Linked DNA regions of Callithrix jacchus. The protein of the gene in region 1 interacts with the protein of each later gene in a biochemical or structural test. Links are inferred from orthologs where the notes say so. Each region holds a gene or a part of one and is shown on either strand. Other genes may lie near its edges.

What was found.
Region 2: the proteins of COX4I2 (region 1) and CYCS form a complex in vitro, tested with the Homo sapiens proteins (4 studies listed by BioGRID). The link is inferred for Callithrix jacchus from reciprocal best matches to the Homo sapiens genes COX4I2 and CYCS.

The regions. Positions count from the first base shown.
Region 1 is NC_133506.1:7,562,541-7,566,955, reverse strand, and holds the start of COX4I2 (cytochrome c oxidase subunit 4 isoform 2, mitochondrial), read left to right. Parts: upstream 1-1,583; 5' UTR 1,584-1,680; intron 1,681-1,967; exon of another isoform or gene 1,968-2,026; intron 2,027-3,089; coding exon 3,090-3,171; intron 3,172-4,415. UniProt on the Homo sapiens protein: Component of the cytochrome c oxidase, the last enzyme in the mitochondrial electron transport chain which drives oxidative phosphorylation.
Region 2 is NC_133512.1:32,935,792-32,940,185, reverse strand, and holds the start of CYCS (cytochrome c), read right to left. Parts: upstream 2,886-4,394; 5' UTR 2,828-2,885; intron 1,175-2,827; 5' UTR 1,167-1,174; coding exon 998-1,166; intron 891-997; coding exon 742-890; 3' UTR 1-741. UniProt on the Homo sapiens protein: Electron carrier protein. The oxidized form of the cytochrome c heme group can accept an electron from the heme group of the cytochrome c1 subunit of cytochrome reductase.

The DNA.
Region 1 (4,415 bases):
TGCACCTGGCCAGCCCCTCACTTTAGCAACTGTCTGGAGCAGGCCCCTATGGCCTCACTAGCCTGTAGGAACCCTGATGGAAGGCATGAGGGCTGGGCATACCTCATGGTCCCAGAGCCAGGAGACCTGGAAAGCTTTGGTCTTCAGGCCACCGAGGGGACTTCCAGCCCTCACCCATTCGTCCACCATCTGTATACTAACAGTTTCAGGCCACATTTACTGAACTCATGCTCTGCTTCATTGGAACACATCACTCCTCTTCTTTGATTGCCTCCCACCTTCTTTTTATTTTATTTTTTTGAGCAGAGTCTCGCTCTGTCATGCAGGCTGGAGTGCAGTGGCTCAATCTCAGCTCACTGCAACCTTTGCCTCCCTGGTTCAGGGATTCTTTTGCTTCAGCCTCCCGAGTAGCTGGGACCACAGAGGCCTACCACCATGCCCGGCTAATTTTTTTGTATTTTTAGTGGAGATGGGGTTGCACCAAGTTGGTCAGGATGGTCTCGATCTCTGAGACCCACCTTGGCCTCCCAAAGTGCTGGGATTACAGGTAAGAGCCACTGCACCTGGCCCTATTGATTGATTGATTGATTGAGACAGGGTCTCACTCTGTCGCCCAGGTTGGAGTGCAGTGGTGCGATCTCAGCTCACTGCAACCTCTACCTCCCACCCCAGCCTTCTGAGTAGCTACAGGGGTGTGCCACCATGCCAGCTTAATCACCTTTAGAATAAAATCCAAGCTCCTCACCAGGCCTATAGGTCCTTTTTGGTGGTCCAGCCCACCTCTCCCTCCATCCAGCCTCCCCTCTAACCATGCATGGCATGCTGGCCAAGATGGCCTCTCTTTTGTTGTTATTTTGAGATGGAATTTTTGCTCTTGTTGCCCAGGCTGGAGTGCAATGGTGGGTCTCGGCCGAGTCTTGTCTATTAACTGACAGTCTTGATCACAGCTTGTTAAGTAGGAACTATCATGAGCTTCCTTTCACGGGAAAGGTAAGAGGAGCTCAGAGAGGTTAGGCCATTTGTTGAAAGTCACACAGCTAAGATTAAAACCCCAGAGACAGGCTTTTTCACTACCTGTCACTGGGTGTAGGGGCAAGGTAGAGGTAGCACACCCCAGGCCAGCTCCCGGGTGCTTGAAATATTAATAGATGCTTCTTCTTCTTCTTTTGTTTTTTTGAGAACAAGAGAGTCTCACTCCGTTGCCCAGGCTGGAGTGCAGTGGCGTGATCTCGGCTCACCGCAACCTCTGCCTTCCAGGTTCAAGCCATTCTCCTGCCTCAGCCTCCCGAGTAGCTGGGATTACAGGCATCTGCCACCATGCCTGGCTAATTTTTTGTATTTTTAGTAGAGACAGGGTTTCACCATGTTGGTCAGGGTGGTCTCAAATTCCTGACCTCCTGATCTGCCCACCTCAGCCTCCCAAATTGCTGGGATTACAGGCGTAAGCCACTGCGCCCTGCCAACTTTTGTATTTTTAGTAGAGATGGGGTTTCACCATTCTGGCCAGGCTCGTCTCAAACTCCTGACCTCAGGTGATCCACCCACCTCTGCCTCCCAAAGTGCTGGGTGGTGTAAGCCACCGCGACCTGCCTAATAGATGCTTCTGGAGTAGGAGGCCTTGCGCCTGGCTGGAAGGTTGGCAAGATTTGAGTCTGCAGAGGCCTGAAGAGAACATCCCAGGTGGGAGAAACTGCAAGGAGGGGTGGGTGGAGGAGGCAGGGACACCCTGTTCATGCGACTACTGTCTGCAGAGGGTCTCCAGAGGCAGGACCCCCAGGGGTAGGGACGCTGATTCAGGAGTCGCTCTGCAGTCCTTCCCCCAACGCTGTAAGCCGAGGTGCCCCCAGGGACGCAAGCTGGGCGCTCCCACGCCCGGCTGAAGCAGGACGTTCCCACGCGGGGGCGGCTCTGGGAAAGGCTGTGGGGCGGGCCGGGGGCGGGCGCCCGCGCTCAGGTCCCTCCGGAGCGGGTTCTCCGTCGCTCGCTGGGCAGACCCAGGTCGCATTACTGCTGCGGAGCCGGCGAGGTGAGTGAGCTGGGGGTGGACCCCGTTACCCAAGCCTGCGCGGGTTGGAGTCGTGGCTCGGTCTCCTGCCCTCGCCGCGGGGTCATGCCCCGAGTGGTCTCTGTCATAGGAGGGCTTCTTGCAGGTGGGAGCTGAGGACTCCTTGGGAGTTATCCTCTGCTTATGAGTGCCACCTCTTTCCCCAAATACAGATTACACCCTCCCTCTCTCGCTATGTGGGGCTCTCCCACCCACTCATCATAATCACTGGCCAGAGCCCCTCCTTCCCAGAAGTGCGGACTGCCTCCTCCCACTTATCACCTGTGGTGTGCCCCCTCCCCCACTCTGTTTATTGAGTGCCCCTCTCTCTCCCTAGATGTGGGACCCCCTTCTCCCCAGGTGTGTGTTTCCCTCCCTCTGACCCAGTTAAGTCCCCGTCCTCTAAAGCCCCTCCCCACCTACATGGTTGCCAAACCCCGAGTCTTCCCTGGGGCTGGGGCACTGGGTTGAGCCAGTCTGGCTGAGCTCAGCCCCCCGCGCCCCCCTCCAACCAACAGATCCAGCAGAGCAGGCTCTATGTGCACGTAGGCACCCAATTAGGGGGGAAGGGGTGGGGCGTCTATCTGTCCTGCTGGTGCTAGAGCCTCTGCAGATGGCCCTGCGGGGAAGAGAGCCTCAGGACCTGCTCCCTCTCCACCTGGCCCCCCACCCAGTTTCGTCTGGGAAGCAAATAACTCAGGGGGATTCTCCAATCTGGCCAGACTGAGCTGGGGCTGGCACCAGAACCCAAGCCCTCAGCCTCACATGCCTGAGACCCTGCCCCAAGAGTTAGGCCTCCTCCCACTTCTCAGATGGTGAATTGAGGTCCCAAGAAGGGGTTCCAAAGGTCTAGGACCCACATTGACCACCCCATCCCCAGGGCTATCAGACAGAATGAGAAGGGTCAAGGGCATGAGGGTAACCTTGAAACCCTGGGACCCCTGCCACTACCATACCAGTGGAAAGGGTTTCTCCATCTGGCCCTGCGGTGTGGGGGCCAAGGGTAATATGGGGACAGAGCTCATCTATACCTCCGTGCCCCCAGATGCTCTCCAGAGCTGCTTGGAGCTTGATGCTGAGGAAAGGTGGACGTGGAAGACGAGAGATGCACAGCCCAGAAGCCCCGGGTGAGACCTGGACTCCTGCCTCTCAGCCTAACTCCAGAGCTAGGGGCAGGGCTCCCCTCTGCAGGCTGTCCCCTTTGCCCTTCCATGCCACCCTGGGCCTGTCCCTACCACACTTCCCATGATCCCATTCCTTGGTCCAAGGCCAAATTTCTCCAGGAAATGGAGCCCACGGGTAAGCCGACAGTGCCCGTCTCCATGCCAAGCTTCCTTAGGAGCCAGCCCCTGACTCAGGCCCCTAGGCCTTGTGCCCTGAGGTGAAGGATGCCAACCCTGGCTCCTCCTACCCAGACCCTAGCTTCAATGCTAGTCAGAAGAAACAGACCTGAAGCAGGAGAGACTTCAGCCAGAGAGCAGAAGGGCCTTGCTGACTGGTGGAGAATAAAAAAGATAATTTTGTCACTGAGCCCTTACTAGTACCCCGAGCTATGCTAAACATTTTATGTGGATTAACGTATGGACTTCACAACGATCATGTGAGGTGGACGTGGTGTTATCTCCCTTTCGTGGATGAAGAAACTCAGGCCCAAAGATCTGAATATTAGAAGAGGCAGGATTCCTTGCCCTAGGCAGCTCCAACACTCTCCCATTAAGGGGGTACCAGTGCCCTCCTTGTGGGCACCTCTGCTGTGAAGAGAAGCTTTGTTGAGACCGAGCCTAATGTCCAGCCATATTCTGGGCACCCATAGGGAGCGTTTGAGGGCAGAGCCGTCATGGAGAGCTTCCAGAAGTGGAGACCAGTAGTAAAACCAACCTCCATTAAACAGAATGATTTACTGAGCATCTGCTGTGTGCCAGGCACCGAAGGAAGCCTTTTTGTTTGTTTGTTTGTTTTGAGACAGGGTCTCTCTTGGTCATCCAGGCTGGAGTGTGCAGGTGCAATCTCGGCTCACTGCAACCTCGGCCTCCTGGGTTCAAGTGATTTTTCTGCCTCAGCCTCTCAAGTAGCTGGGACTATAGGAGCATGCCACCATGCCTGGCTAATATTTTTGTATTTTTTTAGTAGAGAGAGGGTTTCGCCATGTTAGCCAGGATGGTCTCTATCTCCTGACCTCATGATCTGCCAGCCTCGGCCTCCCAAAGTGCTGAGATTACAGGTGTGGGTCACCGCACTCGGCCTCAGGAAGCCTTTTAAGTGTATTCTTTTTTTTTTTTTTTTTTTTAAGACGGAGTTTTGCTCTTGTTACCCAGGCTGGAGTGCAATGGCCCAATCTCGGCTCACCGCAAGCTCCGCCTCCTGGGTTCAG
Region 2 (4,394 bases), on another chromosome or scaffold:
TACAGTTTTGTTTCTGAATGGCTGTTTTTAAAGACAATCCTAAATTATAACTTAGTTTGACTTAGATTGTAAAGAATCCAAGAGTGAAGTTTAATTGGCTACTATTTTAAAAGCATGTGACCTTATAGATCATCTATAAAATGTGTGAAGTGTTAAATAATTTTTTATATTACACATAAACCACACAAAATGCCTTTCAGTAAGTAAAAGGAACCATTTTAAATACAGGGTACTCTAATTAGATTGGCATAGTTAAGGCCAAAAATATAAAATAGCCATTGCTACCCGTTTATCTTCAACCTTGCCTTTAAGAGGCAAACGAACACAAAACACAGGTGAATCTTGCTTGGTTCTGAGACTGTGAAGGAATTGCCCCCATATTTAAATATATTCACATAACCAGTCATATAAATCTAAATATAAAACCAATCTCCAGTAAGTTTTAAGATGGCACTCACCATCTTTGCGAAAAGTTTTAACATTACTAATGAAGTCTAATCATATCTTTAGAAGGGGTGGGTGTGACAGAATTTACTAAATTGGAATTACTATTAAAATCCAAAAACTGAACATATTCATTTAACCACAAGCCAGTCTTAGTCTTAAATCAGGACTGCCCAACAAAATATTCTGTCAGTCATTCATGATGTAAATTCTGGTGTATGAGATCTATTAAAGTACGGTACACATAAAAAAGTCATGAGACATTTGTTTTGTAATAAATAAGGCAGTGGCCAATTATTACTCATTAGTAGCTTTTTTGAGATAAGCTATTAAGTCTTCCCTTTCTCCCTTCTTCTTAATGCCGACAAAGATCATTTTTGTTCCAGGGATATACTTCTTGGGATTCTCCAAATATTCCATCAGTGTATCCTCTCCCCAGATGATGCCTAAATGATAAAGAATGCATCCATTAAGTATTTCACACTCCGGAGTTTGCCACAGGTTACGTTCATGCGTTTTGTGCTGTTTTATTTAACAAGTGTTCTCCTCTTACCTTTGTTTTTATTGGCTTCAGTGTAAGTGAATCCAGAGGCCTGACCTGTCTTCCGCCCAAAGATACCATGGAGATTAGGCCCAGTCTTGTGCTTGCCTCCCTTTTCCACCGTGTGACATTGGGAACACTTCTGAATAAAAATCCTCTTGCCTTTCTCAACATCACCCATATTGAATTCTAAAAACGAAAGACCCAACAATAATTTTTCTTCAGGTAACAAATACAGTGTAAACTAATGACCACTCTAGTCACTTAATTACCAATCCATTGATAATTTATGTCATTAAATACTAAGATGAATCTTCTTTTGCTTTAATACTTTTTATACCCAATACTCTTTCATACCAAAAACATTTTTTAGGAGCACCTCCTTAAAAACCTGTTTTTGTGTGTATACGTGAAGGAAGGTTAAAACCCAAGCAAGCAAATGGGAACGTAATTCAAACTTCAGTTTCAGAAGATAAGGTCATGATCACAAACAGTCACAGATACGAAGCAGAACAGCGAACATTAAGTGAAAATCACCACAACTGCAACTTTTAAGAAGGTCTAATCATTTAATCGTACTACAATGTAAAGCCACCTCTCCCTGAGGATAATGCAAAGCACAAATGTTTAAAAATCGGTCCTGGGTCCCGGCGCGGTGGCTCACGCCTATAATCCCAGCACTTTGGGAGGCTTGGAGGGGTGGGTTGTCATCACCAGGTCAGGAGAACGAAACCACCCTGGCTAACATGGTGAAATTCTGTCTCTACTAAAATACAAAAAAAAAAAAAAGCCGGGCGCGGTGGCTCATGCCTATAATCCCAGCACTCTGGGAGGCCAAGAGATTGAGACCATCCTGGTCAACAAGGTGAAACCCCGTCTCTACTAAAAATACAAAAAACTTAGCTGGGCATGGTGGCGCGCGCCTGTAGTCCCAGCTACTCGGAAGGCTGAGGCAGGAGAATTGCCTGAACCCAGGAGGCGGAGGTTGCAGTGAGCCGAGATCGCGCCATTGCACTCTAGGCTGGGTAAGAAGAGCGAAACTCCATAAGAAAGAAAAAAAAAAAAAAAAAAAAAAAGCCGGGCGTGGTGGTGGAAACCGGTAGTCCCAGGTACTAGGGAGGGCGAAGCAGGAGAATTGCTTGAACCCGGGAGGCGGAAGTTGCAGTGAGCCGAGATCGTGCTACTGCACTTCAGCCTGGGTGACGGAGCGAGACTCCGTCTTCAAAAATAAATTAAAAATAAAATAAACGGTTCTGATTGTTTCTACCTGCCCAGGGCACAAGAGTAGCTTGACACTACTCCTGCGTGAATTGGAGCGCAGGAGTAGGCTGCACGGTGTCCCCAAGAAATCCCCAACTCTCTTACCGGTGATCCCCCCGAGGTGACCACGAGGTCACCCATCCAGGTCGGTTTCAAGGTGACTGATGAAACCCACGTTTCTAGGACGCCGCAACGATTGAAAGAACAAACATGTGCCCACGAAAAGAACAACCCCTTATTAGAGGAGCAACAGCTTTTGCCCTCTGAAGCAGAAAATGAAACGCTACGCTTCGGTTTTAAGGGAGGGAAGTCTGGCCTATCGTTTCCATAGCCCTTCAACAACCACGACGGAAGAGGACGCGTCTTGCCGTCTCCAGTAACTGACCGAGACCTTAGTTGGGCTTCCGCCCTACCTCAAGCGGTTGATCGCCTGGCTCTCGTTTGACCATAGTCTAGGGTCCTCACGTCCGGCCTTCCCACCCCGCGCGGGCTCCCCTCGAAGGCTCCCCGCGTATCCTCGCGAATACGTGCCCCCCACAGCTCTGCTTCTAACCAGATGCGGCTTCCGCGACCCGCTCTCACCTTTTTCGTGGTTAGCGCAACAAAGACTACCACTCAGAAGCCGGACGTCCCACTCTCTAAGTCCAAGGACACGCCGGTCCGCGCCTAAGTACCAGTGTAAGTGCAACCAAACTCGCTCCGCCCTCCCGCGCCCTGACGTACAGCCGAGCTTGCGGCTACGCAGTGACGTTGCCGCGCTTCATTGGCTCCAGTGCCAATGCTTGCGCCAAGGATCTGCGCGCGCATACCAGCGAGCAGGGTAGGCTGTGCGGCGTGCGTGCCCTTCCTCTCCAGGCCTCTCTTGCCGGGCCGTTACGACAGGCCTTTGGTCAAACGACGTCGCGGTGGTGCCGGGAGGGGTGACGTCACTCGCAGGTCTTTGTGCGCTTGCGTATACTAGAGGGGCGGGGAGGGTGGGGCGGAGTCGGTGGTGGTTTGGCGCGTTACCCTGCTAAAGTAACAGGCCTGGTGATGTAATGAGCTTTGTTTGGGCAGGGCGTTCCGCACGTCCAGGAGAAGACGCCCTAATTCTGGCTCACCTAGAGGTCTCCTAGCTACCGTCTCGTCAGCAGACGACCTTTACCCAGGCTCTGTCATACTAACACTGCTGGCGCCAACAGCATCCCAGAGGCACAGCCTGGAACCAGGAGTTAGACGAGTTGGGCACTTGCTCGTGACCTTGTTCTAGTTCCACCTCTACTGTGTTACTTTCAGTCATCTTCTAGCTCTCCGCTTGTTGGACGCCCCAAGAATGGGGAAGGTGCTGCATTTGCGGTAGAGACAATTATATCTCTGGCCCCTTACCTGTCGGCAACTTTTCTGCCAGCGCCCTCCTCCCCCTCACGTTCGTGTGCAGAAAGAACATGGAAGGTGTGTTGGCACCATCTAAGAAGAAACATGTTTAGATGATTAGAGAATTCTTGGAAATCTAGAGGATTTGCATCCCTTCTGACCTAGGTAAATGTCATGTTCAAGTAAGCTTATGCATGAGGTCTTATTAGAAATAAAGGCGTTAATACCACAGCTTTTAGTTATTATAATTTAAAACTAGATCCCCTTCCTGACATGCTCAGTTCTGTCACTGGTTTTTTTTTTTTTTTTTTTTTTTGACACCTTTACTCCTCAAATTCTAGCCCCATGTTCTGATTAATTTTCATCCTTTCTTGTATTCTCTCCCCTCCACTCCCTCGCCTTGTATTCTATCTGACACTGCCGTATTCAGTCGTATTCATTGGCCGGACAAGGTGATTCACACCTGTAATCCCAGGACTCTGGGAGGCCGAGGCGGGCTAATCACCTGAGATCAGGAGTTTGAGACCAGCCTGGCAATATGACGAAACCTCGTTTCTACTAAAAATACAACAATTAGCCGGGCATGGTGGCACGCACCTGTAATCCCAGCTATTCACGAGGCTGAGGCTGAGACGGGAGAATCGCTTGAACCCGACAGGAAGAGATTGCAGTGAGTTGAGATCGTGCCACTGCACTCCAGCCTGGGCGACAGAGTAAGACTGTCTCAAACAAACAAACAAAAAAAGCATTTATTATGCATGTTATGTGCCAAGCATTTTTCTAGGTACATGGAGTA